2 linked regions of the Struthio camelus genome follow. The protein of the gene in region 1 interacts with the protein of each later gene in a biochemical or structural test. Links are inferred from orthologs where the notes say so. Each region holds a gene or a part of one and is shown in the gene's direction. Other genes may lie near its edges. The genes, in order: PLXND1 and SEMA4A.

Region 1 (14,318 bases):
GGGACGGGATGTGGTCCCTTGCCACGGTTCTTGCTCCCACCACTTGTGGCCATCGCTGCTGGGCCGAGGCAGGTCGCCCCGCGTCCGGGGGGGGCTGCGTTGCTGCACCGTCGCCCGCTTCGGCCGAGGCCGGAGCGCCGCCGCGAGCCGCCATCCCCGGCTGCGGGCCGCTCCTGACGCCCCGTTTGGGGGATCTGCCCCGTGCTGGCACCTGCCTTTCCTCTTGCTGTCAGCTCTCGGCTTGCGGGCTCAGGCCACGGATGTTTGGGCTTTGCCAGGAGCACCTGGAGACCCTGGGAATTTCGGGCAATGCCGACGGTGGCCCCAGCATATGCAAAACCCGCCCTCTGCCCTTGCGAGGGAGGGAGCCCTGGGGAGCCCTGGGGAGCCCTGGTTTTCCTAAGCCGTGTCTCCGCACCAAGGCAGCCGCTGGCACGCTCACAGCCCAGGCGAAGGACGCGCTAACGCGTTGGCGGCTGCGGCTGGGCAGCAGGACACCCAGCCCTGCTCTGGGGCATCGCCTCGCGGGCGGCGGGACGGGGCTCGCCGCGGCCGCAGGAGCACAACAGGCGCACGGGCACGGGGGCTTGGGGCACCCCCATGGCCTCATGGTGTCCCCATGGCCTTGTGTGCCCCCATGGCCTCAGGGCGCCCCCATGGCCTCGGGGCATCCTCAAGGCTGGCATGGGGCCTCGTGGTGTCCCCATGGCCTTGTGGTGCCCCCATGGCCTCGTGGTGTCCCCATGGCCTCGTGGTGCCCCCATGGCCTCGGGGCGTCCCCACGGCCTTGTGGTGTCCCAATGACCTCGTGGTGTCCCCATGGCCTTGTGGTGTCCCCATGGCCTTGTGGTGCCTCCATGGCCTCAGGGCGCCCCCATGGCCTCGGGGCATCCTCAAGGCTGGCATGGGGCCTCGTGGTGTCCCCATGGCCTTGTGGTGTCCCCATGGCCTCGGGGCGTCCCAATGACCTCGTGGTGTCCCCATGGCCTTGTGGTGCCCGCATGGCCTTGTGGTGTCCCCACGGCCTCGGGGCGTCCCAATGACCTCGTGGTGTCCCCATGGCCTTGTGGTGCCCGCATGGCCTTGTGGTGCCCCCATGGCCTCAGGGCGCCCCCATGGCCTCGGGGCATCCTCAAGGCTGGCATGGGGCCTCGTGGTGTCTCCATGGCCTTGTGGTGCCCCCATGGCCTCGTGGTGTCCCCACAGTGGGCACAAGGCCTCGTGGCGTCCCCGTGGCGGACGTGGGGCTCCTCCCCTGGGTGGCCGACGGCCGCGTGGCCTAGCGACGGCGGGACCAGCGCCCCGGGGGCAGAGCCGAAGCACCCGGAGCCTGGTTGCTTTTCCACCTTGATTTAGTATTGGCTTTGACAAGCGCCGTCTCCTGGCTCCTCCGATACTGCCAGCTGTGCCTGATGCTGTTGATTTGATAATGTGTCTAATGCGGCTTCTTGAAAACAGCTGGTATGGGGGAGCTGCTCTGCTCCCCCTTGAGCCGTCTCCCTTCCCTGCCTTCGTTCCGCCCGGTCCGTCCGGGAAACAGTCCGGTTCGCTCCCGCAGCGCGGCCGGGCGCCGGGGCTGCTGCCGGCCGAGGGGCGCCGAGGGACGGCACCGCGCGGGGCTGGGCCTCTCGGTCGCGGGAGGGGAGCGCGGCCGGGGCCGGGGCCGGGGACTGGAGCCGGAGCTGGTGCCGGCGCCCATCCCCGTGGCGCTGGGCCGCGCACCACTCTCGGCCCGAGCCCCGCGCGGCCGCCGCTCGCGCCCCCCCGAGCCGGGCGTTGTCCGCCGCGGCCCGACGTTGCCCATCGGTCTCTTCTGCCTTCGCTGAAGCTGAAAACGAAGGAGGCCGTTCCCCGCGTCCCGCAAGGACAGCGCGGGGGCGGCGGAGGGCGGAGGCCGGGGCCTCGCGGGGGAACCACGGCGGGACGGCCGGAAGAACGGCCGTGGAAACTGCCGCCCCGTTTCCTCCGCCCTCTCCCTGGTTAGCTGAGGAAGAACCACTCTTTCACCTTCCTCACGGTGTCTTCATTGGCTGAGCGCTCCCTCGGCGCCCGGCTATCGCGCCAAGCAGCCAGGCTGCCGCCGGAGGGCGGGCGGCGGGCGCCCCAAGCTGCCAGCAGCCCTGGGGGCGGGTGGCTCGCCCGCCGGGGGTCTGCGCGGGGGAAGGGGAGAGGCGGCTCCGCTTTCGGCAGGCGGGACGGGTCCAGCGCTGCGCTGCTGGCGGGAAGCACCCTGCTCTCCTCCCTCCCCGGTGTCCCCATGGCCTTGTGGTGCCTCCATGGCCTCAGGGCGCCCCCATGGCCTCAGGGCATCCTCAAGGCTGGCATGGGGCCTTGTGGTGCCCCCATGGCCTTGTGGTGCCCCCATGGCCTCGGGGCGTCCCCACGGCCTCGTGGTGCCCCCATGGCCTCGGGGCGTCCCCACGGCCTTGTGGTGTCCCAATGACCTCGTGGTGTCCCTCCGACCCGGAGCTCCCCACCCGCCCCAACGACACCAGAAGAGCCACTGCTTTTCTTAAGTTGGCAAAGAAGGGTTCAAACTTTGCTGTCCCAAACGGGGGCAACGCGTGCAGAGGTGCGACACCAATGCCTCGTTGCTGTCCCTCTCCAGTCCCCCAAGGCGGTCCGTCCGCCCCAGCGTCCCGGCTGAGCCGGCGGTGCCTGGGTCCGGGGCCGCCCGGGAGAGCGGAGCGCCGCGGAGGCCTTGCAGCCCGGCGCCGGCCCGCGGTGGGGCCGGCCAGGGCCCGGCCGGGCGCTGGTGCGGGGCCGGGGCCGGGGCTGCTCCCCTTCCGCCTTTCCCGCCGGGCGGGCGGCGCGACGGTCCGGCGGCAGGAGCGGAGGACGTTGGACCATCACGCTCGTCTGTCTGCCTTGCTGTCACCGAAGTAATTCAGGCGAGGCCAAGCGCGTTACTTGGATCCTCTAAGGTATAATTTAGGCACGAGATGTTTACAATCAACTCTCATTTGCATCGGCAGGGAGGAAAACATGGGATCGGCCGGATATTTCAACCGGCGGGTGAATTACTAGTGCAAGCATGGCTATCGATGGAGCCTCCCGCACCTGGAGGGCGCGGCGGCCAAGGGGGCAGGACGGGCAGCCGGGGGCGCTCGGCGCGGGACCCGGCCCGTCAGCAGGCTGCTCCATCTCGCCCCGCTTTGCCGCTGCCTCCGCCTCCCTCGCTGCCGGCCGCTGGGGCCCTTCGGGGCGCCCGTTCTGCTGCCCAGCCCGGATAATCCCCAGAAAAAGCTGTTCTCACTTGTGTAGAAACTTAAGCAAATGTTTCCGTTCGCGCTCGGTGCTTTGCAACGTCCGTATTAGGGGCGCGCACGGTCTGTAACGTTGGGCTTGCGGTGAGCTCGGCGCCGGCAGGCGTGCGTGCGTGCACCGCGCCGTCTGCGCTGCGCCTGGACGGCGTCCCCACCGGGCGCTCCTGCGGCCGCCGCTCACGCACCCCAGACCGATCGGGGTGGCACCCGGTGACGTTTTGATGCCAGGTGACGCCCTACAAGCGACGTTACGACGAGAGGCCACCAGAGGCCACGTGAACCACACGCTGCCCAACTCTGAAGCTGAGACTTACGTGGCGCCGGCAGAAGGCGGATCGTTGCTGGGTGCAGGCACGAAGGCACCTCAGGTTTCCTAGCCGCAGGCGGTTCACGCGTTGGGCACGGATGGTCAGGGGTAACTCGCGCGTGCCGTCCTGGAAGCGCACGGGTGCCGCGGTCCGGATACGGGACGGGGGAGACCACGGGGCGGCCAGGCCGGAGAGGGCCTTCCCGTCCCTGGAAGGGCGTAGGTGCTCTGAGGGCCCCGCGCGGGTCCTGACGCGTTGCAGGCCCGGGCGCCCGGGCTGGGGATGGAGGTGGGGGCCGGGAGGGCAGCACCGAGGGGCAGGGGCTGGGGTGGCCCCGGGAGCGTCCTGGCGGGACCTGGAGGTGTTGATGAGCTGGGTTCGTTGGGCCATCGGGTATGGTGGCTACTGCTAGGGTAGGTTTCGAGATGGTGCCGTCAAGGCCCACCTGGAAAGGGTCTGGCTGGGGCCGGCCTGGTGGGGACGGTGTGTCAGCAGCCCGGCTGCCTGCAGAAGTTACTGGGCTATGTTCAGGGGGACTTTGGGAAAGACGTGCTGCCTGACTTCGGATTATAGCAATGCAAATCACCTCCAGTGACCTGAAGGTGGATCTGCGCTAGCGAGACCCCCGCGAGCCAGCACGGGCCGGGGTCTGGCAGCGTCCTCCGAGCCGGGTTTGGGCAGGGGCAGCAATGGTCCCACGCGGGGAGCAGGGCTGGGTCTGTCGGCGAGGCGGAGGAGCTGGGACCAGAACCAGAAGATGCCGCCGGGTTGCATTTGGGTTTTGCGGTGGTCGGGCCTGCCCTCCGAAGGACTTGTCGGGCTGGTGGTGGGTCTGCTGCTTCTCTGTGCAGCGAGGTAGAGACCGGAGGTGCTTAAAGCCCAAAGAGGGTTGAATCAGAGCCCAGTGCAACATGGAATAATTTTTAAGCACTTTGAAATTTTAATCAAAATGTTTGAGTTGATACGAAGAAGCTCAAAGCAAACGATAATTCCACAGCTAACCACATCTGACGCTTTCACCCCAAAGCAGAGAGTGAGCGTCAGTACCGAGGCCTCGCCAAGCCCCGCCAACACGGCCAAAACAAGGCCGAAGCCGCTCAGGTAAGTGAAACTGGTTGGAACGAACAGGGGCGCTGTGGATAGTAGTAATATCGTCACAGCCCGGTCGGGCAGGTCCTGCCGCTGCGCTCGACCGAGCCCCTTCGCGGCGGCAGCCTCGGGCCCAACGCGCCGCGGGCCGGCGAAGGGGCTCGCGGGGAGAAGCGGGATCCCGCCCGGAAAGCTCCCGGCCCCGAAGCCCCCCGGCCGCTGGGCCGCGGCGCGCAGACCCGACCCCGGCCGCGCGGCGGGGAGCAAACCCGGCCACGCCGGGGCGGCTCTCGCGCCGTCGGTGGCGTCTCAGCCGGTGCCGCTGCAGGGGTCGTCCTCCATCAGGACGTCTTTCGTGGGTGGGAGAGCGATCAGCCGCGAGGGCTGCAAACGAGGCTGATAACGCTCCTGAGCGCGGCCGGTGGTTTCCCCGTCAGGGACGGGCGGAGGCCGGTGCGGGCGCCCCCGGCCCTGCGGCAGCGGCCCCCCCCGTGCAACGCCTCCGCTGGGCACCCGGCGCGGGAGCGACACCGCGGCCCGGCCGCAGGCAGCCCGCTGGCGGCTGCGGAGCCAAACCAGCCCGTCGCCCACGCGCGGGGCCGGCTTCCCCCGGTCCGCGCAGCGCTTCACGGGCTCCTTGCGGGTAAACCCCCTGAATAAATAGATGTTTATACCCCCCCCGCCCCGTACTAAAGCGATTAGGTCCCGCTTTTCAACAGTGTCGAGTCGATATAACCCGAGTGACTGCATGAGCAACTCATGTTTCCCCTAAAGGGAAACTGTTCTCGTGTAAATATATTTATTAATAATTAAAGTGTTTTTGAGTTCCTCTGCACACAGCCCCTCTCCCCCGCAGAGAGGTCTGAAAAGCTGTTATCTTTAAACGTGCGAAGGAGGCAAACGGGAAGGGCTTTGGCTGGGCGGGTGATTGTCTATTGCAGCAGGCGTGTGGTTTAATTTTGACCTTTTTTTCCTTCCTGAACACAAAATAATGGTGAGATCTGCGTATAAGAGATTTAAAAACCTCTGCTGCTCCATTAGGAACATTATCTATCCTGAAAGATTCACTAGGGCTTCTAACAGCCCAGATAATAGGGGTGGGAAATCATTTCTGGAAAACATTCCCCTCAAAGCATCTTACCAGAGGATTGTTTCCTAACAAAAACAACCGTAATAAAATCTTTGTCAAATAATCCTTCAATATCACAAATATTTTGGCTTTAATTGCATCAGTGCAGATAACCGCTCAGTGTAGGAAATGGGCGTCAGAACTCCTGGGGGAATTTTCTGACAAAGCCAGTACTGGATACCTTTGGGTAAGTCGCACATTTCTCTGTATTCTTTGGCCTAATTTTTTTTAACTGACTGTAATCTGGAATTTAATTTGATATGCCTTAAAAGGCTGATTTCACATGGAAGATGCTCTACTATCAGGATAAGCAGGCATAAGAAATCCTAAAATAGGCAGATTAAGGGTTTGGGATCACGAGGGTTTATTTCTGTGCAATTAAAGACATGATCACATTAAAAAATTGCTAACTTGTAGTTTAAAAAAAAAGGACTAAGAAGCCCCACATTTAAAAACAGCTAATATCGCTATTAATTAAGGATATGATTAGCAGAGACAATGCGTTCGATAGCGCAAAAGCACAACATTTAATTCAACGCACATTTTCAGCGGACGTGGCGTGGCCGAGGCAGTTATGTATTAATTAGCGCTCCGAGGAGGGCGAGGAGGACTGGAGGGGGGTGAGGAAAATTGGCAGGTGTAGAAATGAGATTGGACAGCAGCAGCACGTTTGTTTCCGTCCCGAACGCAAGTCGCTCCGCGTCCTCCTCAGCCTCGCTAGCGTGTCTGCGTCGGTGAAAGCCGAACGAGCGGGGCCGAGGCTGCAAGGTGCTGCCCGGGGGGGTGGCAGGTTTCAGGGCATCCCGCCCGCGTCAGCCCCGCGGGGCACGCGTGGGGGCACGCTCGGCCCCACGCGGTACAGGGGCACCGGCGCCTCGACGCTAGCCCGGCACCCGCCGTGGCCGGGACGTCGCGGGGTGTCGCAGAGCGAAGGCAGCGCATGAGCCCCCCGCTCCTGGCACCCCTCCGCGCCCGCCCACCCCGCGGGCAGCGCGGCCCCCGGCCCAGAGCCCGCCGCCGTCCCCGCGGCTGCGCAGCGGCCTTCCGGGGGGGGGCGGGGGGGAGCGCGCAAGCTCCGCGGGGGCGGCACGGCCGGGCGGGGGGCGCGCAGGCTCCGGGGGGGGTCGGCCCGGGCGGGGGGCGCGCAGGCTCCGCGGGGGCGGCACGGCCGGGGGGGGGGGCGCGCAGGCTCCGCGGGGGCGGCCCGGCCGGGGGGGGGGGCGCGCAGGCTCCGCGGGGGCGGCACGGCCGGGGGGGCAGAAGACGCGCGAGGCAAACCGCCACCTTCGCCTGGGCGGCAGCGCTTTCCCACGCCGATAAGGGAGGGAGGATCACAGGCCGCGCTATCTCGGGGGCATTTTCCCTCTGTGCAGTTCAGTGGGTGGAATTTAGGAATCCCAGCACCTCTTTTTTTTTTTTCTTTCACTGTCAAAAAGAGCCGATGGAGGGCAGAGGAGACGCACGGTCCTGTCTTGAGCTCTGCTTTTGGCAAGCGGTGCGGGCAGGGCTGGCTCTGCGGTGGAGCCCGGGGGAGCCCGCGCTGCCGGGCGCGCCGCAGCCCCGTTCCCACGGGGGCTGCTCCGTTCCCACGGGGCTGCCGCGCTCCCACGGGGGCTGCCGCGTTCCCACGGGGGCTGCTCCGTTCCCACGGGGGCTGCCGCGTTCCCACGGGGGCTGCTCCGTCTCCGGGGGGGAGGCTGCCCCGTCCGCTGCTCGGCGGCGCCCCGCGGGGCTCCCCGGCAGCCCGCAGCGATCCCGGCGGCGCGGGGAGGGGAGGGACCGGCCGGGGAGCGGCAGGGACCGGGGCGAGCGGTCGCGCTGCCGGGACCGAAACACCGGGGAGGCCGCAGCGAGCCCCCCCCCCCCCCTTTACGTGCCTGGAATATTTCTTCACTTAATGCATGGCCCCCGCAAGCCCCGGCGCGCGGCCGCTTCCAAGCGGAGCCCCGGGGCCGAGGCTGCTCGGGCCGGCCGCGCTGCCGCGCAGTGGGGAAGAGCGCTCCGCGCCGCCCGGCCCCGCTCTGCTCAGAAACGTAAGGAGAGGAACAAGGGAGAGAGAGGAAGGAACACGAGTTATTTGTTGCTAGCGGGGCCGCGCTCGAGGAACAAGGCGCTGCCGCTTTTTGCGTTTGCCTGGTGCGAGGCTCGCGCGGCAGCTCGGGGGAAATATTTTCAACTTAATCACATTCACATGACAAACCCTAAAGAAGGAGGGGATGAGTAATGCCAAAAGCGAGGGGGCGGGGGCGCGGCGGGCCGGGCCGGGCGGAGGCGCGGCCGCCCCGGACGTGAGCGCGCCCCGCCGCCCCCCGCCGCGCCCGCCCCTCGCCGCCTTCCCCGCCTGCTCCGCGCCGCGGCAGCCGGCTCCGCGGGAGCGCTCCTCTGCGGCCCCGCCGGCGGCACCATGGCTCCGGCTCCGGCGGCGGCGGGCGCGGGGCCGCGGGGCTCCGCCGCGCTGCTGCCGCCGCCGCCGCCGCTGCTGCTGCTGCTGCTGCCGCTGCTGCTGCTGCCGCCGCTGCCGGGCGCCGGGCTGGAGGTGCAGCGCAAGTTCCTCTCGCCCACCCCCACCAACAACTTCGCGCTGGACGGCGCGGGCACCCGCGTCTACCTGGCGGCCGTCAACCGGCTGTACCAGCTCTCGGGGCCCAACCTGACGCTGGAGGTGGAGGAGGCGGTGGGGCCGGTGCTGGACAACCCGCTGTGCCACGCGCCGCAGCTGCCGCAGGCCTCCTGCGAGCACCCCAAGGTGCTCACCAACAACTACAACAAGCTGCTGCAGCCCGACCCGGCGCAGGGCGTGCTGGTGGTCTGCGGCTCCATCTACCAGGGCTTCTGCCAGCTGCGCAGCATGGCCAACATCTCCGCCGTGGCCGTGCGCTTCCCGCCGGGCGGCGGCGGCGGCGACGAGCCGGTCACCGTCTTCCCCAGCATGCTCAACGTGGCGGCCAACCACCCCAACGCCTCCACCGTGGGGCTGGTGCTGCGCCGCGGCGGCGACACGCGGCTGCTGGTGGCCGCCACCTACACGGGCTTCGGCAGCCCCTTCTTCCCCCGCAACCAGAGCCTGGAGGACCACCGCTTCGAGAACACGCCCGAGATCGCCATCCGCGCCCTCAACGCCCGCGGCGACCTGGCCCGCCTCTTCACCTTCGACATCAACCCCTCCGACGACAACATCTTCAAGATCAAGCAGGGCGCCAAGGCGCGGCACAAGCTGAGCTTCGTGCGCGCCTTCCTGCACGGCGGCGCCCGGCGCCCCGCGCCCGCCGCCCGCCGCCCCTACGCCTACCTGGCGCTCAACAGCGAGGCCAACGCGGGCAGCAAGGAGAGCCCCTCGCACAGCCTGCTGGCGCGCATCTGCCTGGGCGACGCGGCCGAGCCGCCGCTCAACGGCAGCGCCGAGCCCAAGAAGCTGACCGAGTCCTACATCCAGCTGGGGCTGCGCTGCGGCGCGGCCGGCGGCTTCACGCGGCTCGTGTCCGTGTGCCCGGCGCGGGCGGGCGGCGGCGGCGAGCGGCTCTTCGGCGTCTTCGCGCGGGCGGGCGGCGGGCGGCCGCGCTCGGCCCTCTGCGCCTTCCGCTTCGCCGACATCGAGGAGGCCATCCGGGCGGCGCGCAGCGCCTGCTTCGCCAGCCCGGCCGCCGGCGCCGTGGCCGTGCTGGACAGCGTGGTGCAGGGCACCGGCCCGGCCTGCGAGAAGAGGAACATCCAGGTAGGGGGGCGCGGGCGGCGGGCACCGGGCACCGGGCGGGCGCTCCCCCCCACCCCCCCGGGCCGCGCGCCCACGCGGGACCGCCGCCGCCGCGTGGGTGTGCGCTGCCCCGCTGCGGCGCGCCGAGCCAGGCGCGGCGCCGCTCACGCGTAGAGAGACCTGCGGGTGTGCGCGGTGCCCCCCCCATCAAGGACCGTCTCCATTCCCACGTCCCCTGTCCCCAGTGGACTCGCAGTGACTCACACTTTATTTTTCTGACTCTCGCTGGCGGCTGCTCCCTGCGCGGACGCGGAGGGACAGCAGCCCGGCCAGCGTCCTCGGGTCCAGCCGCTCCCTTCCCACGTCCCCGCGGCGGGCGGCGCGTGCTCCGCGCAGAGCGGGACCTGCGCACAGAGGCTGCCTTGTTTGCTTGCGTTTGGGGTGAAAGTTTTGCCATTGTCACAATTTGTTACCAAGTGGGCATAAACGCTAAAGCCAGATAAAGACGCCTGTTTTCCCCTTCACTAAAGACGTGCACTGTTTAAAAAAAAAAAAAAAAAAAAAGAAAAGAAAGAAAAAGAAGAAGGAGCTGCTTTACCCCTGCATTTTTCCCTTCCTCTGGGAAGGATGCATAACTCAGCTCCGTCAGAGATCGTAAAAACATCTGTTTGGTTTCAGAGGCAAGACAGAGCGTTTGGGCTCCGGCTTCCCTGCGCTGTGCCAGTGGCAGAGAGAAAGGTTTGCCATGGTAACCGAGGTGTTTAGTGTGGCATCGCCACGCTGTGTTAACATACGTAGTCTTAATGCTCGGGTTCATAGACCTGCTCTAGCAAAGTTGCATAGCTTTCCCCTGGTGGCAAAGTACAAGCTGCCTGACAGCCAGGAAGTCTGGTAGTTGTCCTGGCTTTTGAGTTAATTCCACAAAGACTCAGTGCATTAAACACCAGGAGCCCAGCTCTGAAGTCCTGGCACGGTCACAGCTCTCGGAGGAGTCGCTGGGAGTCAGGAATCGTATTTACAGGACTGGAAAACACCTGCGGTTCTTGTTGGCGTTAGTTGAAGCTCAGCGTCCCTGAGAATCAGACCCTCAGCACCTCGCAGGATCGTAACGTCCCAGTCGAAGCCCCCGAGAGCAGACGTTGTGGCTGAGGTTTCTGGGAATTATTTAGAGCGTTAAGGGTCCAATTTTAATTGAAAGTCAATGGCAGAAAGGCACCCGGCTCCCCTGAGCTTCCCCAGTACTCCTTGACTGTTTGAAAAATGCATTTTTTTTCTGACTTTTGTTCAATAGGGAAAATAATAACTCTGGTGTATTACTATTTGAAATATCAAAAATTGTATCTGGTTATATCTAGTGAGATGTTTAGACACCTGATTCCTCCGTTTCTCAGCGCGTCACTCGGCACGTAACGGCTCGGCACGTAACTGAGGGTTTCCCTGCGTCTTTGGATCTGGCCCATAACGTTGTTCCACCCACCCTAAGGCGTACCCCTAAGAGCACCGCTCCTCTCGGTACTCTGAGGAGGTGGGAAGGGTGGCGGAAAGGCTGAGACTGGCCTAACCCAGAGCCAAAGACAGTGCCAGAAGGAGGATGAGGAGCAGGTTTTACAGCGCAGAGCAATTACCTACAGGAAATAACAAAATCAGTAAATGTTTTTGAGAACTACACTTCTAATGAGCTTAATTCTGACATAAATGCCACACTCAGGAGCTTATCTGAGCATGGAGGTGACTAGGAATATACTGTCTGCTAGTTCTGTAAAGGAATGGCTGCGTTCTGGAGGATGGTTGAATTTAAGATTGGGTATACGATATTCAGAGGAGCAAGCTGTAAAATGCTGGGCCTCCTCTAATCCTACAGAAGTCAGCAGAAATCCTCTATGTTTAGCATTGCGGCAAGATCAGGCCATAGGAAAACTTGCGTTTGCAGCGAAGCAGCGGTATGGGTTAGTGGTAGTGGGGCTGGGCAGGGAAAGCTGGGTCCTGGAGCGGGCTTTGCACGCATGCTGCCTGGGTGCTGGTGCTCATCGTTCCCCCCTCGGGTGCCTCAGTTTCCTGACTTGCAGCATGCGCCGCCTATATTTGTTACCGTTATTCAGAAGCCTAACTCACACGGAGTAAGGGATTACAGTTGTAAAGCTGCTCTGAGATCCTTTGATGTCGAGTACAGCAGGATATAAGTGAGGCATACTATTAATATTCGCTCGTGCTTAATATTTCTGCATTTCCCATTTATTTGAGGCGTTATTTCTCTCAAAACACTGACCAAGCCTGCTGGGAAGCCTTCTTACCAGTCAGAAGGCGAGCTTTTCATTATTTCTTTTTCCTTTTACTTAATCTTTAGAATTGCCAACAAGTTAACAAGCTGTTTTCCTTCTCGAGTCCCAGAGTGGCTGTGTCAAGAGAAGAGCTGTAATACTGTGTTTCTTTGTGCTGCAGAAATCTAACATCGTTTTCCACCTTGGAGACGATGAAATATTCCAATGCGTTTTGCGTCCCGGCCTGGGGACACAGCAGGAAAATGCGTTGCAGCAGAGCTGGTTGGGTGGTGCGGCTGGGCATCTAGCCGCCTTCCCGTTAAAAGCGCCACTTCTCCAACCTGTTAGTGGGCTCCCGAGATTTCTTTTGCCTACGTGTAGCTTAGAGGTGCTCGAGCATTACCAAAATTGCAGTTGGTTAGTTCTTTCTGTAGACTAGGCTGCTGGGTTTTAAACTCCTTCTGGAAAAAACCCGTGTAATGGTTGCCTGACTCGCTGCAAAAACACGTTAGGCTAAAGTGGTCGGCGGTTACGGCAGGGCGCGCTGGCTGCTGGGCGTAATGCTGCGTGAAAGGGAAATCATTGCCCCCTCGTGTGCTGTTCCGACTAATTGAATGCTCCTCGCCTGCAGCACTTAACCGTGGGACGAAACCGCCGGCGCGGGAGAGCGGGCGCGAGCGGCGGCCGTCGGGGTCGGGGTCGGGCGATGCCCCGCTCCGGCGGCCCTCGGACCCGTAGGGGGGTGCCGTGGCCCGGGGGGGCGGCGGGCAGCGGCGCTCGGCCTGGGCTCCCGCTGCGGAGGTACCGGCGCCTCGGGCCCTTGAGGGGTCCCCGACGGCTGGGTGGGACGGGTTGCGGGCTCGGCCTGGGGATGGTCCTGTTCGCTTTGGCGAGGGGCGCGCTTGGCGGCTGCGCTGAGAGGCGGGGGGCGCGGGAACCGTCCTAGGCAAGGGGTGGAGGCGGGCTGGGGCTCGACGAGCGCGGTGTCTCATCGCTCCCCCGGGAGCTGAGTTAACACCGGCGGCTTAGGGGAAGGGGTATGCATTAAGGAAGGATTGAGTTTGAGCTTTTTCTCCCCGCCCCCCCCCCCCTTTTTCCTTTTTTTTGGACTGAGAGTGAATGGGTGAGCTCTAGTATTGCTTTCCCTCAACAGAAAGAGCTTTTTATAATAAATTTTGTGTCAAACAGTGGGCTGTTTCTGTAACACGGGCAGTTCAAATGAAACGCCCACGTGAAGTCATTGCCGCGTTTTCACCACGAAAATCCTCGGCAGAACTTGAACCCAGGCCTCCAGGAGAGAAAAGGAGCACGCAGTCTCTGCCGTAGCCGCCCTGTCCTCAGCGCGGCTTGCAGCAGTGAGCTGACAGGCCTTGCCAAAGCCTGGGGAGCCCCAGCGGGTGCCTCCCTGTTTAACCTCTTCCGCCCAGCTGGCTCGCGGTCCGGTGGGCGCCAGGGCCGCGCAGGGCTCCCGGCGTCCCCCTCGGCAGCGCTAGAAACGACGCTGCGGCGGCTCCTCCGGCGCCGGCTGGCCGCGCTGCCCCACGCCGTCCGCGTCCCGACGGGCTCCCGTCTCCGGCCGGCGCGTAGGGCAGGGGACGCGCCGGGGGCTGCCGGGCAGTTTCAGCTCCCTTTCCTCGGCTGCAACAACAGCACGATGACAAGTAAACATGAATTTTAGGTCATCTCTACAACCCTTCGCGCTGTCTGTATCCCAGTGTTGGCTGCTTTGAGGATCCGAGTTTAACACAAAATAAAATACAATATACGACAAACTCACAGTTGAAAGAAAGCGAAGCTGGTAACCCCACCCCAGGCACCTGAATCCTTCAGCCGCCTTTTGTGTTTTCCCACCTAGAGCCCCACCGTCTCCTTAAAAGAAAAAAAAAATCTCTGGACGGTACTAGAGAAAGCAGATGTGTTGTCGTTCGATTTAAATTTGCAATCCAGGGATCCACGTCTCCCCTGGAAAATGTTTTGGGGTCTACATCTCAAAAAAAAAAAAAAAAAAAGCTAAAAACCTTGTTTGTTTTATATGCTGAAAAACTTGGGCACAGCAGCGTGGGATAATGTTGCAATTTAGCATCAATTCTCAAGTTTCTGGCTCTTGTGGCTTTGTGTCAGATCCTGCATGTTCATCGGACGCCGTGTTTTGTGGGGCAACGATGAGATAGCCACCAGTGAGTTTTACTACAGCGGGCTGTTAAATGAAATGAACTTCTTGGGTAGATTATATAAACAGTTTCAGGGTATGTATGCTTGGGCATGGAAATATGGTTTGAAACCAGTAAGAAAATGTTCCCAAAATAAAAACTTGTATACACGTGGGAATATGACAAAGCATCTACTTACCGTCCAAATACGCTGTGGCGTCTCTGTGGGATTGGGTTTTATAGGAGCTGAGTTACTTTGAAGTGCTGGTTTATACTAATTTAGAAATACTAAACATGAAAATAAATGTGCTCTAACCTTACATCTACTCAAATAAATCCGGAGGATTAGCCACAGAAAGGAAACTGGGAATTTGCACTTAATTTATTTGTACATTAAAAATAAAGCAAAACTCCTTGTAGCAGGCAA
Region 2 (14,707 bases), on another chromosome or scaffold:
AGCGGGAGTTCGAGAGCAAGCTGTCCGAGGCCCTGCAGGAGCTGCGCAGCCAGCATGAGGCCCAGATTAAGCTTTACAAGGATGAACTGGAGAAGACCTATGGGGCTAAGGTGAGGGGCAGCCACGTGCCGGGTTCCTCCTCCCGCATAGCCCCTTGCTGGGGCTCTGGTCTGCGTTTTCCCCCTCTGCACCTCGGGGTGCCGGCGGGCAAGGGGACCGGGGATGCGCAGGAGCGAGGCGCTAACCGACCTCGTCTCTGCTCTCCAGCTGGAGAACGCCAAGCAGTCGGCCGAGAGGAATAGCAACATGGTGGGCGCTGCCCACGAGGAGCTGCAGCAAACCCGCATCCGCATTGACAACCTCTCCTCCGAACTCAGCCAGCTGCAGAAGCAGGTGAGCCGGGGCCGTGGGCTTTGCTCGGGCTGGTACCCTCCCGGGGATGACCCCGGATGGAGCCGCCTGCCTCACCACCCTTCTCGCACAGCTGGCCGCCAAGGAGGCGAAGCTGCACGACTTGGAGGATGCTCTGGCCAGGGAGCGTGAGACCAGCCGGCGCCTGCTCTCCGACAAGGAGCGAGAGATGGCCGAGATGCGTGCGCGCATGCAGCAGCAGCTGGACGAGTACCAGGAGCTGCTGGACATCAAGCTGGCCCTCGACATGGAGATCAATGCCTACCGCAAGCTGCTGGAGGGCGAGGAGGAGAGGTGAGTGGGGGACACTGCCTGGATCTCCCTGACGGGCTGTGCGGGTCCCAGTCCTCACGTCCTCACCGACTCCATCTCGCCTTCTCCCCCTGTCCAGGCTGAGGCTGTCTCCCAGCCCCTCCTCCCAAAAAGGGGGATCTCGTGGCCATGGGATCCACTTCACCCCGGGCTCCTCCAAGAAGAGGAAGCTCGAGGACAGCGAGAGCCGGACCAGCTTCTCCCATCACGCTCGGACGAGCGGGCGCGTCGGTGTGGAAGAGGTGGACTTGGAGGGCAGATTCGTCCGTCTCCGGAACAAGTCCAACGAGGTGCGTTTGCCTCCAGGGAGGATCCCCAGGGCCTGCTGGATCCCTGCTGGTGTAATTCAGCCCCACTTCACCCTGTGGGCAGGAGGCAAACTGGGACGAGCTGGAGGGTCTCAAGGTTGCTGCTTTCTCTCTCGCAGGACCAGGCGATGGGCAACTGGCAGATCAAGCGGCAGAATGGAGACGATCCCCCCATCACCTACCGCTTCCCCCCAAAGTTCACCTTGAAGGCTGGCCAGATAGTCACGGTGAGTCACGGTGAAGGTCCTGCTGGGCTCCTGGGGGGGATCAGCGGAGGCCCCAACCCCAGCCAGGCCATTGGTCTTGGGAGCCTTCAGAGGCGATGCAGAGCGAGGCATACGATTGCTCGGGTTGGCGCCAGGCAGCGGGCTCCTTGGCACATGGCTCTGCTGGGGACCTGACCCATATCCCCGGGGTCTGGGCTCTGCCGCCCCACGGCATCACCGTTCTCTGTGCTTTTCTCCGCAGATCTGGGCCTCGGGGGCTGGGGCGACCCACAGCCCCCCCAGCGACCTGGTGTGGAAATCCCAGAGCAGCTGGGGCTCTGGGGAGAGCCTGCGGACTGCCCTGATCAACTCCAACGGCGAGGTGAGAGCGCGCGGGGCTGGGGCACGCCACGGCACGGGGAGGGGAGCCGGCCGACACAATCCAGCGGGGCGGCGAAGCAGCACGGGCCAGAGCCCTCTGACCCCTCTCCTGTCCCCTCCAGGAGGTGGCCATGCGGAAGCTGGTCCGCACTGTGATCATCAACGACGAAGACGAGGATGATGAGGATGATGAAGTCAGCATCCACCACCGCCATCACCATGTGAGTACCATGCTCAGGAAGGCGCTGGGCCCGGGGGGTCAGTTGCAGGGATGCTGGGGGAGCTCAGCTCTGGTCCCAGCTCTGGCTGGGCACTTCTGGTCCACTCCTGCTGCTTGGATCGGGGTGGGAGGCCGTTCGGCACCACGGAGGATCAGACCCTATGGGAGAAGGCACCTGGAAGGGTGCACTGGAAACAACCACGTGGAAGAAGCCAGCAGACCGGCGCTCAGAGAAGATGCCTGCTCACCAGGAGGGCTCTGCAGACCTCTCTGGTGATGGTGATGGGGGCAAGCTGAAAGCATCTCCAACCCAGAAGGACCTTGACCTACTGCATGAAGGCATGGAGGAACTGGGACAGAGGGCGAGCTGCTATCTGGAGTAGCCCACCCAGAGCTGGAAGACAGGATGGTGGAAAGTTGATGGAAGACGCTTCCCAACGGCAGCTGCTCCAACCTCTCTGCTTCACCAGGGCTCTGGAACAAATCCAGAGGTGACTTTGTCCTTCCGCTCAGCCCATCACTCCCTTCGCTGAGCTGAAATATGCCCAGGAACAGCAGCATGCGGAGAACAGGCAGCGTGCCAGAAACGGAGCTGCGGCCCCTTCTGCCTGCATCAAAGCAAACATCCCTGGCTGCAGCGATGGGAGCCCCCCACCAGCCCGTCCCTGGGGGCAGAGATCTGTGTCTCGCGCAGGAGGCACCCGCGGGAATCGTGCACGGAGAGGTGCTCTCTCCCTGACCGCACGCCTCGATGCTGCCGAAAAATCTGCCAGATGCAGCTCCCCGGGGCTTTGCATAGCAGGAGCTGGATGCGAGGTACATGATCAGCTTCCCTTCTAATTGCTCTGGATCCAAAGAGCTTTGCCAAGAGGGATATTGATTATCCCTGGATGAACGAGCCAGGCTCCCATGGGCCAGCGCTGCCCATTTGTCAGAGGCCTGAATCCTTTCCAAGGGCGAGTTTCCCAGCAGGAAGCAGTCAGCCGACTCGAGCTGGGCTCTTCAGAGGTAATAAGGAGGAGGATGCTCTCAGCTGAAGATGAGCACGGACAAAAACTCCGAAGAGCAATGAGAAGAGGCCGCCGGGGTCATGCCTGGTGCTGCCGCGGTCCTCGGGGTAGGACGCTCAAGCCAGAAGGCGCTCAGACAGGTACTCAAGGACCTTTTTGTGTGTGTTTCCCCCCGTTTAGGCCAGCTGCAGCGGCTCTGGTGACCCCGGCGAGTACAACCTGCGCTCGCGCACGGTTGTCTGCGGCACGTGCGGCCAGCCGGCCGAGAAGTCGGGAAGCCAGAACGCCGGCATCGGCACCATGTCCTCAGGGTCGTCCACCTCCAGCGTGACCGTCACCCGCAGCTACCGCAGCGTCGGCGGCTCCGGAGGCGGCAGCAGCAGCCTGGGGGACAACCTGGTCACCAGGTCCTACATCCTGGGGAGCTCCAGCCCACGTAGGCAGGTCAGTGCCGTTTCCAGACCCTGCTGAGCCTTGGGGACAGGCTCTTCCTGCTCTGGCTGGTCTTTTTCCTGGCCTTGCATCATCCTTTCTTGACAAGCCAATGCTGCGGGTGTCTCTTCTCCCTCCCTCTTTTCCTCCTCTCTTCTCCTTGCCCTGGGCATCTACTGGCATGTGTAAGGTCTATAAGGTCTATAAGCTCATGTCCCTCGCTCCAAGGAGACGAGCCGAGACGCTGGAGTAAAGGGAGACGATCGGCTCAGCCGGGCGGAGAAGCCGGCGGCCAGAAGGCCCCCGTCTCCCAGCAGTGGGACAGGGAGAGGATGAAGCCGCACGGACCCTTTGAGTCCTGCCTTTGGCCTTGTCCTCCCTCCCAGCCGAGGCCACGGCTCAGGCTCGGACACGCCGTCCCCGCGGGCTCGTCCCGCTCGAAGGCGGCTCGTGCCATCAGGCGCGGGGCAGCGACTGGGGACGGCTTCCCCTTGCTGGCCCGGCGCCATCCCGCCGTCAGCGAGCGCCCGGTGGCACCGTGCCAGGGTATCCGTCACCCGCCACCGTTATCGTGCCGGTGCGGCAAATGCACGGCGGCCAAGCGCTATTAACGGTGGCAACGTGAATATTTCAGCGCTTGGCATTTGCTATCAGATCAGCAGTATTCTCCTCAATATTATTACCCTCATATATTACCACTAATTATGTTTCTGACTTCAGCGCTATAAATACCCCAGCCCGACCCGGAGCATGACGTGCGGCCGAGGCTGCACGTGGCGCCCGCGCTCGGCGGCGGAGCGCGAGGCTGCCGAGAGCGCGGCGGGTGCCCGAGCGGTCCCCGCTCAGACGTTGCTGCCCGTCACCACCGCTACAGTGGGAGCAAACGGATAGTGACGCTGGATTTTTCTTCTTCTTTCTTCTCTTTCCTTCCAGGCTCAGGCTCCACAAAACTGCAGCATCATGTAACTCCAAGGTGCCATTCCTATGTTTCCTGGCCATCTCGAGCTAGTTTTTCCCAAAGCAAAATATTTTTTTTTTCCTTAAAAAAAGTCGAAAACCAAGGTTGGGGTTTTTTTGTTTTCTATAGCAGGAATTTTATATATATATATATATAAAAAAAAATGCTAAAAGATGCTTTGATTTTTTTTTTGTAAAGAAAAAATCTATTTCTATAAAAAAAAAACCAAAAAAAAAAAAGCTTTTCAGCTTCAAAATTTTTTTAAAACTTCAGCCAAAGACACCGAGGAATTGTTTACCGAGCAGCAATGCAGAAACAGATTGTAGTTTAACGGCTCTTTAGATGATAACCTTTTTTGCCAAAGCTTTTTATATAGGACTAGGAGAAGTAAAGCCATCCCCGCCGGAGCCCCGAGAGCGGCGCGCTGCATCGGGCGCCGTTGGCGGGTCGAGACGCCCGGGCCGGATCGTCGGCGGTGCCGGGGCTCGGCGCCACCCCGCGAGTCACCCGGCCGCGCTCGCGGGCGCCTGCCTTGGAGGGTCGTCGTCTGCAGGAGAGCAAAGCGCCTTTGCAACCCACCCACCTTTTTTTTTTTTGGATTTGGACCCAAATTCCTTCTGTTCTTGTTGTCGTTGGGGTTTTTTTTTCTTTTCCCCCCCCGCGGTGCCGGCTCGGGGGGCTCCCGGGGCCGCGTGGGCATTGCCTTCCTGCCGGCCGCCCGCGCCTGCGGCAGCCGCCGCTCCGCTGCCGCCGGAGCTCGCTCCGTGTACTGTATTCCCGGCCAGAGGCACGTCCTTCCCCCTCCCCTTTTTGGGTTTTTTTTTTTTCCCCCCTTTTCTTTCTTTTTTTTTAAAGCAGCCACTGTGTGCCTTAAGGAAGGCGCGGACCCTGCGGGGCGGCCGGGGGTGCCGCTGCGGGAGCTGCGGTGCCACGGGCTGGCCGGGCTCGCCCCCGCCGAGGGATGGAGGTTAGACCGAGGCGGGAAGTGAAAATCCCACGGAGCTTTCCCGAGCCCTGGGCCGAGCCGGGCGTCCCCGGCGCGGGCGAGCGAGCGGGCCGAGCTGCGGCGGGCTGGCACCCAGCGCCCCGTCCTGCCCGCAGGCCGCCGAGCACCGCGGTGGCGGCCGCGCGGGGCGGCGGGTGTTTTTTGCTTCTCCTTTTCGCGGCGGCGTTGGCTGCTCTCGGCCCGGCGGCGGGAGTTCGGGAGCCCAGTTCGGCGGCGGGACGAGGGTGCTTAGCGCAACACGGGGCTGGTTTGTGGGGAAAGAGCGGGGTTGGTTCGAGGGAAGGGGGGGTTTTCGGGGCAGATCCCCCCCCCAACCCGCCCCGGCTTCGCCTGAGGCCCCGTCCAGCTGTCGGCGGAGATTTCTGCTTTTTTTTCCCACGCCGTTTTGGGGGACGCTCACCCCAAGGCCCCCCCTCCGCCTCCCGCTCCGAAGCGTCGCCTCCGCCGGCGGGACCCGCGCGCGTGCCGCTACCTGCTAGCGAAGCTTCTCTATTTACCGCCTGTATTTCCTCCCGAAATCAATACAAGCGAGATCCCTTCCCGCCCCGTGTGCTGTCGTGATTGGCGTCCCCGAGCGCCGCGGGGAGGGATGCTGCAAGCCGGGCCGGCCGGCCGGCGTCTCCGCGGGGCCGGGAGGGTGAAATCTGGGGACGTTTCAATGCTTTTTCCCACCCGGCCAAGGTTTCTGGGAAGGGACGGAGGGGCCTGGGGCAGCGGGAGCGGGCAGGGGGCCGGGCAGGCCGTGCCAGGCCGCGCCGGGCCGGCACCCGCGCAGCGGCGCTGATGCGAGGCGGGAGGAGAGGTCGGCGGGAGGAGAGCCCTAAAGCCGGCGCGTGATCGGCTTTGCCGGGCGCCGCGATGTGAGGCACCGGCTCGCGGGCGGCCGGGGCGCAGCCGCAGCCAGGTAGGTGCCCGCCGCCGTGGCGCGGCCCAGGACGCCGGGGCCCTCTCCCAGCGGCACGGGGTGGCTCCCCCCCCCCTCCCCACCCGCCGGGGGGGCTCGGGTGCCAGCGGGGCTGAGCTGTGCCGGGGCAGGGGGGGCTTTTCCTGCAGATTTGGGCCGGCTGGCAGGGACCGGGCAGCCCCCCGGGATGCACGGCGCTGCCTGTGCACCAGCGTCTCCCCCGTCCCCGGAGGGGGTTGGTGCAGCGGTTCGGGCAGGGGGGGCCCCGAGGCCGATGCAGCCCCCCGGGCGCTCGCCCCGCAGCCGTCGGCGCGGGCGTCCTGCCCCCGGCAGTCACGGGTCCGTCCCCGAAGCGGCGGGTTATTTAGCAAAGACGGCGATGCCGCGGGGGATTGAGGCCAGGCTGCCCCGCTGACCCCGCCGCGGTTAAGCCGGGCGCTCGCCGTCGCGGGGCGGCCGCGGGGGTCCGAGGCCGGGGAGGGGGGAGCGCGGGACGCCGGGGTCCCAGGGGCCGGGCTCTGCCTCTGCCTCCTGGCAGCGGGTTTTGGCTAAGACCATCCGGCTGCCCGGGAGCGGGTTGGCACCGGGCGCGAGCACCTTCGGGCACCCGAGCGCCGGGGGGACCCGGACACCTGGGCCCGCTCGGGGCCTTGGCCCCCGCGTGCCGGGCGAAACGGGGGCCGAGCCGGGGCGGGGAGGGGGGGCGACGTGCGTGGGGTGCAGCCCAGCACCCCGGCTCGTGCAAAGCCCGTCGGGCGGCAACGTTTCCGGGGTGCCGCGTGCTGCGTTGTGCAAGTCCGTCCTCGCGTTGCCCTTCCCTTTCTGCCGGATCCGGCCGTGCCCGGCGCTGCCCTGCCGCCCCCCCCGCCCCGCATCCAGCCGCGTTGCTCCCCCTCCGTGGCTGCCGCTGGCGCCGGGCAAAGGGACAGGGCAGAGGCCGCGCGGGAAGGGAAGGCGGTGGCGGAGGGCGGCCGCGGCCGGCGGGGGCTGGCAGCCGCCTGGGGAAGGGGAAGGAGCGCGCGGAGCGAAGCAGAAGTGGGACCCACCGGTGCCAGACGAGCCGGGGGTTCTTCCGCCGGGGGGTTTTTGAGGGGGGAAGTGATTTAGCGAAGCGAAATCGAGGCACCCCGGAGCCGGGGCGCTGCCAGGGAGCGAGGAGGGGGCCGCGCGCCGCAGGGACAGGGCGGCGGAGCACGTCAGGAGCCGCCGGACAGGACACGCGTGTGCGTGCAGCCGCCGGAGGGGCCGCTCTGCACGGCTGCGTTCAGGTCTGTGCGTGCGTGTGCAGGTCCGTGTGTGCGTGTGCAGGTCCGTGCGTGCGTGTGAAGGTCCGTGCACACGTGTGCAGGTCTGTGCACACATGTACAGGTCTGTGCGTGCATGTGCAGGTCCGTGCGCATGTGTGCAGGTCCGTGCATGTGTGTGCAGATCCGTGTGCACATGTGCAGGTCCTTGTGTGCATGTGTGCAGGTCCGTGTGTGCGTGTGCAGGTCCGTGCGTGCGTGTGAAGGTCTGTGCACGCGTGTGCAGGTCCGTGCATGTGTGTGCAGATCCGTGTGCACATGTGCAGGTCCGTGTGTGCATGTGTGCAGGTCCGTGCACGCGTGTGAAGGTCCGTGCACGCGTGTGAAGGTCCGTGCACACGTGTGCAGGTCCGTGCATGTGTGTGCAGCTCTGTGTGCACATGTGCAGGTCCGTGTGTGCATGTGTGCAGGTCCGTGCACGCGTGTGCAGGTCCGTGCACGCGTCCGTGTACATGGGCACGCCTGAGCCCACCCGCGGGCATGCACGAGCGTGCACGTCGGTGCGTGTCCCGGCGCGTGCAGGCGTGTGCACGGCTGCGTGTCGAGGCGCACGTGGCCGCGGGAGCGCGGCCGCGGCCGTGCGGGTGTGCGTGCGTGTGCGGGTGTGCGCGGGTGCGGGTGATGCCCGCCGGAGCCGGCGCGAGGCGAGCCGTAGCCATGGTGATGTGAGCAGGATCCGGCGGCCCCACAAGGGATGCTGGCCCCGGCAGGCCTCCCCCGCGGCCGCCGCGCCGCTGCTCCGCCAGGTCGGTGCCGCGTGGGGACGGGGACGGGGGCAGCTCCTTGGGGGGGGGGGGATCCCCGGTGGCCTGGGGGGCTTCGGGCTGGGGCTGGGGTTTGCTGTGGCAGGGCCGTGGCTGGGGGGCGACCCCTCGGATGGCTCCGATGATCCGGGGCGACGAAGGGGTTGAGGGTCCCAGTCCAGGGAGATCATCCCTGCATCCCTGCCCCGCTTTGCATCCCCCCCCTCTTTTGCATCCCCCTCTTTGCATTTCCCCCCTTGCAAGCTCCCCTTGCAAACCCCTCTTGCAAGCCCCCCTTACATCTCCCTTTTGCATCCCTCCCCATTGCATCCCCCCTTTGCATCCCCCCATTGCATCCCCCTTCGCATCCCCCCCAGCATCCCTCCTTGCATCTCCCCTTGCCAGCCCCCCCTTTGCATCCACTTACATTTCTCCCCTTACATCCCACTTTGCAGCCCCGCTATGCACCCCCTGAATCCCACCCCTGCAAAACATTGCCAAAAATCCCCCATATCCTTCCTGCACTCCCCTTTTGCCTCCCCCCACCCCGTGCATCCCCCCACGTCCTGCTCTGCCTCCCCCTCTGCCCCCCCCCTGCACTGGGGCCCAGGCAGGTGCAAAGCAGCCCCCACCCCGAGCCTGCAGCTCACCGCACCGTTGCAGCCCCCGGGGGAAACTGAGGCACGGGGACAGCCCTGCCGGTGCAGCGCGGCGTCCCAGGGGCCGGGTGTGCAGCCGGGCTCGGGGCCCCAGCGGGGAAGGGTTAATCCGCTCTTGTGCAAAGCGGCTGCATTTTCCTGAGCTCCGGGAGGATCGCCCGGCTGGGCGAGGAGGCGGCGGGTCCGCGAGGCGGCAGGAGCTCGCGGCCCGCAGCGCCCGCCGGAGCAGCCTCGGGGCTGCTCTCGTTTCACAGCCCCGCTCCCGCGTGGGCTTCTCCCGTCCCCGAGAGCCGCCGCCGTCGCCTCCTTTCCCGTCCCTCCTCCCCTCCGCCGGCCCCGGTGGCTCCGGCCCAGGGCGCAACAATGCGGCCGGTGCGAGGCTCCGGGCGGCCCCGGTTCGCAGCCAAACCGGCCGCCGGTGGCAAATCCGGCGCCGAGTAACCTACTTTCTGGGCTCACAAGGAGCTTTCTGTGCCGGCCGAGCGAGGTGGCGGGGAGAGGGTGCCCCGCCGTGCCCGCCGCCCCGGGGGCAGGCAGGTAGGCAGGCCGGGATGGGGGGGCCGGGTGCTGGGATTGGGGGGGGGCCGGACGCCTGGGCTCTTCGTGCGGGTGATGCTCGGCCCCAGGGGGTGTTCGTGGGGTGATGCTCGGCGCCGGGCAGGACCCGCTGTGCTCCGAGCCCAGAGCTCTCGCCCAGCGTCAGGGAGGGGACCCAGGCGTCCGGGCCCTTGGGGAGCGCGGGCGGGCGAGGCGGGTGCCGGGCCCTCGACCTGCTGGGGCTCGTCCTCCCCCAGCAAGACTTTCTGGTTCGCGGAGGCCCCGGCGGCACCGCCGGCTCCTCCCCAGCCGGGGCGGCCGCGGCAGGCTGCAGGGAGCGCGGCCGGGGCGCCGGGTATGGACCCGCCGATCCCCGCTGCCGGCGGCCCCCCGGGGCCGGGCACCCTCTGGGCGACGGCACTCAACACCCACGGGTGACCGAGCTCCTTCCTCACCCGCCGGAGAGGTAACGCCCATCACCGTGGCGTCAGGCCTGCTCAGCTGGAGTGCAATATCGGCGGGGGGGGGAGGGGGGAGGATCCGCAGGGGGCAAACGGAGGCCAGCCGCGGTGCCCGCCGGCGACGTCGCCCCACATGCCGGGGCGGCCCCCCGGGCTTCCCGCTCTCGTTTCCGCTTGCCGCCTCGTCGCCGCTCACGCCGGGCCTCCGCGCAGGGACGGTGCCGGGGCCCCGCGGCGCGGCGTCCCCCCCGCCTCCCTCCCCGGCCCGGACCGCCGTGCCCCCCGCCATGCCCGGCGCGGCCCTCCGCCTGCTCTGCGCCGTGCTGCTGCCGGCCGCCGTCCTCCGCGCCGAGCCGCTGCCCCGCGTCGCCTTCGCCGCCGGTGAGTGCGGCCCCCCGGCGCGGGGTTGGGGGGAAAAATGTTGGGGGGGGGGGGAAGGAAACGGAAAAGAGGGGGGGAGCATGGGGACAAGCCGGGTCGGGGGGCAGCAGCTTGGGGGGGGGGGGCGCATCCGTCCCGCCGCCGGTGCCGAGCATCCGGCCGGGTAGCCAGGGAGCATCCCGGCCGGCCGGCGCGCGGGGGGGCCGGCTTTCCCGGTGGCCGGCGGTAATTAAAAAGGGGTAATTAGCGGGGTTGCGGAGCTGCACCCCAGGGGCTGAGGTCGGGCGGCGGGGAGAGGCTTGGTCCCCCCCGAACCGGCTGGTGGGGGGCCCGGCGCAGCCCCCACCCCGCCACTTCCCCTTCCCGGCACCGCGGTTCGGGGAGTTGCCAAATTTCCCTCTTCTTAATTTCTGCCTTTGCAGCCGCTGCTGGGGGGGGGGGAGGGGGGTGCATTTGGGCACATCCGGGTGGGCGACGCAGCCCCCCCCCCCCAATCCCGGCGCGGCGCAGCCGGGAACGCACCCGCCTTGGGGCAGGGAAGAGCTGCTCGAGGGGTTTTTTATTTTTTTGGGGGGGGGGCGCTGCCAGGGGACGCCCGGCGGCCCCTCGCCCGCCTCGGCCCGCCCGACGTCTCCGACTGCGACGTCCTGCTGCTGCGCGAGGACGAGGAGGAGCTGTACGTGGGGGCCCGCGACCGGCTGCTGGCCCTCGCCGTGGGGCCGGCCGCCGTCCCCGGCGAGGCTTCGGTGAGCGGGCGGCGGCGTGGTCGCTTGCCGTGCCTCGGTTTCCCCCTTCCCCTTCCTTCCCCGGCCTCGGCACCGTCTCACCTGCCTCCTCAGATCCCGTGGGGCCCCACGGCGGAGAAGACCTCCGAGTGCGCCTTCAAGAAGAAGAGCCGGGAGGTGAGGAAGAGCGGGGCCGGCGGGCGGGTGGGACGCGTCCGCGCCGCCCCGCTTCACCCGCGCCCGGCCCCGCGCAGACCGAGTGCTTCAACTTCGTGCGGGTGCTCGTGGCCCTCAACCGGACCCACCTGTACGCCTGCGGCACCTACGCCTTCAGCCCGGCGTGCACCTACGTGGTGAGTTGTGTCCCCGAGCTTGGAGGGCTTCAGTTTTGGGGGTTTCCTTCCCCATCACCGCTGGCCCTTTCCCCCCTCCAGCATCTGGAGAACTTCACGCTGGTGTCCAGCGGCCGAGGACAACCTTTCCTGGACGGCAAGGGCCAGTGTCCCTTCGACCCCCAGCACGCCCACACGGCCCTGCTGGTGGGTGAGTTCGGGGCCGGGGTTGGGGTTGGGGTGGTGGGGACGCCGCGGGGCGGTTGGGCAGGCGAGGACCCGCTCAGGCCCGCTCCTCGGCCGGCTAGACGGCGAGCTCTACGCCGGCACCATGAACAACTTCCAAGGCAACGAGCCCATCATCTCCCGCTCGCTGGGCGGCCGGACGCCGCTCAAGACGGACGCCTTCCTGCGCTGGCTCTCAGGTGGGGACGAAGCCGGGGACGGGGGACACGGCGGCGCGCCGAGGGTCCCCCGCGCCGGCACCTGACCGCCCCGGGTCCTGCCCCGCAGCCGACGCCGCCTTCGTGGCCTCCTTCTCCGCGCCGGGCGACGACAAGGTCTACTTCTTCTTGGAGGAGACGGCCGACGAGTTTGACTTCTTCGAGCGGCTGCTGGTGCCGCGGGTGGCCCGCGTCTGCAAGGTAGGACGGGGCCGGGCAGGCGGGTCGCGGCCGGCCGGCCGGCCGCCTCGGGGTGCTGAGCGGCCGCCGCCGCCGCAGAGCGACGTCGGCGGCGACAAGGTGCTGCAGAAGAAGTGGACGACGTTCCTCAAGGCGCAGCTGGTGTGCTCGCAGCCCGGCCGCTTCGCCTTCAACGTCATCCGGCACGCCGTCGGGCTGCCCCGCCGCGCCGGCCGCGCCGACTTCTACGCCGTCTTCACCTCGCAGTGGTAGGGCCGGGCTCCTCGGGGGCGCGCGCCGGGGGCCTGGGGGCGTGCGCGGGGGGGGTTTGGGGTGGGCAAGGGGGTTTGGGGCACGCAGAGGGGTTTGGGGCATGCAGAGGGGTTTAGGATGCACACAGGGATTCAGGCGTGCAAAGGGATTTGGGGGGTGGGCACGGGGATTTGGGGGTGGGCATGGGGATTTGGGGGTGTGCACAGGGATTCGAGGGTGTGCATGGGGATTTGTGGGTGTGCACAGGGATATGGGTGAGCACGGGGATTTGGGGGGCATGCACGGGGATTTGGGGGTGTGCCCGGGGATTTGGGTGTGCCCGGGGATTTCAGGCTGTGCACAGGGATTTGGGGGGCGTGCACGGAGATTTGGGGGTCTGCACAGGGATTTGGGTGTGCGCAGGGGTTTGGGGGGCGTGCACGGAGATTTGGGGGTCTGCACAGGGATTTGGGGGCACGTATGGGGATTTGGGCGTGCACCGGGATTTGGGCGTGCACAGGGGTTTGGGATGCACACAGGGATTTGGGCATGCATGGGGGTTTGGGGTGTTCAGGGGGGTTTGGGAAGCACACAGGGATTTGGGGACATGCCCGGGGATTTGGGCATGAACGGGGATTTGGGCGTGCAGGGGGGGTTAGGGGTGTGCACAGGGGTTTGGGTGTGCACAGGGATTTGGGGGTGTGCACAGGGATTTGGGTGTGCACGGGGATATGGGGGGCATGCACGGGGATTTCAGGGCTGTGCACAGGGATTTGGGGGTGTGCACAGAGATTTGGAGTGTGCATGGGGATCTCAGGGTTGTGCATGGGGGTTTTGGGGCATGCATGGGGATTTTGGGGCGTGCACGGGGATTTGGAGACGTGCCCGGGGATATGGGGGCGGCCCCGGCCCCTCGCCCACGGCGCCGGTCCCCGCAGGCAGGCGGGCACGGCCGGCAGCGCGGCCGTGTGCGCCTACAGCCAGGAGGCGGTCGAGGAGGTCTTCAAGGGCAAGTACAAGGAGCTGAACAAGGAGAGCTCCCGCTGGACCGTCTACGGGGGGCCCGACATGAGCCCCCGGCCCGGCAGCGTGAGTCCTTCGCCGGCGACGGGCAAGGGTTTTCCGTCCTCCTCCTGGGGCCGTGCCTCAGTTTCCCCCCGCCGGCTCCGCAGTGCTCCGTGGGCCCCTCCTCGGACAAAGCGCTGACCTTCATGAAGGACCACTTCCTCATGGACGGGAAGGTGCTGCCCAGCCAGGGGCGGCCCGTGCTGGTGCGGACGGGCGTCGAGTACACGCGCATCGCCGTGGACGAGCCCCGCGGCCTCTCGGGGACCTCCTACCGTGTCCTCTTCCTGGCCACCGGTAGGTCGGCGGGAGGCTGGGCCACCCTGGTGGCTTGTCAGACCCCACCGCCGGGTGACGTCCGGCCTGTCCCCGCAGCCGACGGGTCCCTGGAGAAAGCGGTGGAGCTGCCGGGGACCTCCCACATCGTGGAGAGCATCCAGCTCTTCCACCCGCCCGAGCCGGTGAAGAGCCTGCTGCTGGCCCCGGGCAAGGTGGGTACCGGTGGGAGCTGCTGCCAGCCGATCTGAGCCGGGCCGAGTTGAGTCGGGGCTCAGCCCGGCGCCTCTGCCCCCAGGGCGTCCTCTACGTGGGCTACTCCGGCGGGGTGCTGCAGGTGCCGCTGGCCAACTGCAGCGTGTACGGGAGCTGCGCCGAGTGCCTGCTGGCCCGCGACCCCTACTGCGCCTGGGACGGCCTCAACCGCTCCTGCCGGCCCGTGCGCCACGCCGGCGCCCACCCGTGAGCCGGGCCGCCGGGGACGGGGGTGGCGGGTTGGAGATGGAGGCACCGGGGATGGAGACATCAACATGGAGATACTGGGGATGGGAATGGGGACACCAGGGATGGAGATGGAGGCACCAGGGATGGGGACACCAGGGGTGGGAATGGGGACACCAGGGATGGGGACACCAGCACGGAGATACTGGGGATGGGAGTGGGGGGACACTGGGGATGGGGACACCATGGATGGGGTTGGGGGCACCAGGGATGGGGACACCAGGGGTGAGGATGGGGGCACTGGGGATGGGGACATCAGCATGGAGATACTGGGGATGGGAATGGGGGGGCACTGGGGATGGGGACATGAGGGATGGGGATGAGGGCACTGGGGATGGGGACACCACCATGGAGATACTGGGGATGGGGATGGGGACACGAGGGATGGGGATACCAGGGATGGGGACACTGGGGATGGGGACATCGGGGTTGAGGACACTGCGGGGGGGGACACCAGCATGGGGACATTGGAGATGGGGACACCATGGGGACACCAGGGATGGGGATGGGGACAGGAGGGATGGGGATGGGGGCACTGGGGATGGGGACACCACCATGGAGATACTGGGGATGGGGATGGGGACACGAGGGATGGGGATACCAGGGATGGGGGCACTGGGGATGGGGACATCGGGGTTGAGGACACTGGGGGGGGGGACACCAGGGATGGGGATGGAAACACCAGCATGGGGACATTGGG

What was found.
Region 2: the proteins of PLXND1 (region 1) and SEMA4A form a complex in vitro, tested with the Homo sapiens proteins (2 studies listed by IntAct, with this or other methods). The link is inferred for Struthio camelus from reciprocal best matches to the Homo sapiens genes PLXND1 and SEMA4A.

The regions. Positions count from the first base shown.
Region 1 is NC_090955.1:661,487-675,804, forward strand, and holds the start of PLXND1 (plexin-D1), read left to right. Parts: upstream 1-8,196; coding exon 8,197-9,504; intron 9,505-14,318. UniProt on the Homo sapiens protein: Cell surface receptor for SEMA4A and for class 3 semaphorins, such as SEMA3A, SEMA3C and SEMA3E. Plays an important role in cell-cell signaling, and in regulating the migration of a wide spectrum of cell types.
Region 2 is NC_090971.1:3,846,573-3,861,279, forward strand, and holds the start of SEMA4A (semaphorin-4A), read left to right. Parts: upstream 1-9,273; 5' UTR 9,274-9,497; coding exon 9,498-10,233; intron 10,234-10,821; coding exon 10,822-10,979; intron 10,980-11,072; coding exon 11,073-11,135; intron 11,136-11,212; coding exon 11,213-11,311; intron 11,312-11,392; coding exon 11,393-11,501; intron 11,502-11,598; coding exon 11,599-11,715; intron 11,716-11,803; coding exon 11,804-11,934; intron 11,935-12,012; coding exon 12,013-12,182; intron 12,183-13,103; coding exon 13,104-13,254; intron 13,255-13,337; coding exon 13,338-13,527; intron 13,528-13,605; coding exon 13,606-13,721; intron 13,722-13,804; coding exon 13,805-13,968; intron 13,969-14,707. Other genes in the region: LMNA (lamin), read left to right, coding at 1-110, 268-393, 485-705, 803-1,013, 1,151-1,258, 1,500-1,619, 1,741-1,839, 3,029-3,292 and 1 more. UniProt on the Homo sapiens protein: Cell surface receptor for PLXNB1, PLXNB2, PLXNB3 and PLXND1 that plays an important role in cell-cell signaling. Regulates glutamatergic and GABAergic synapse development.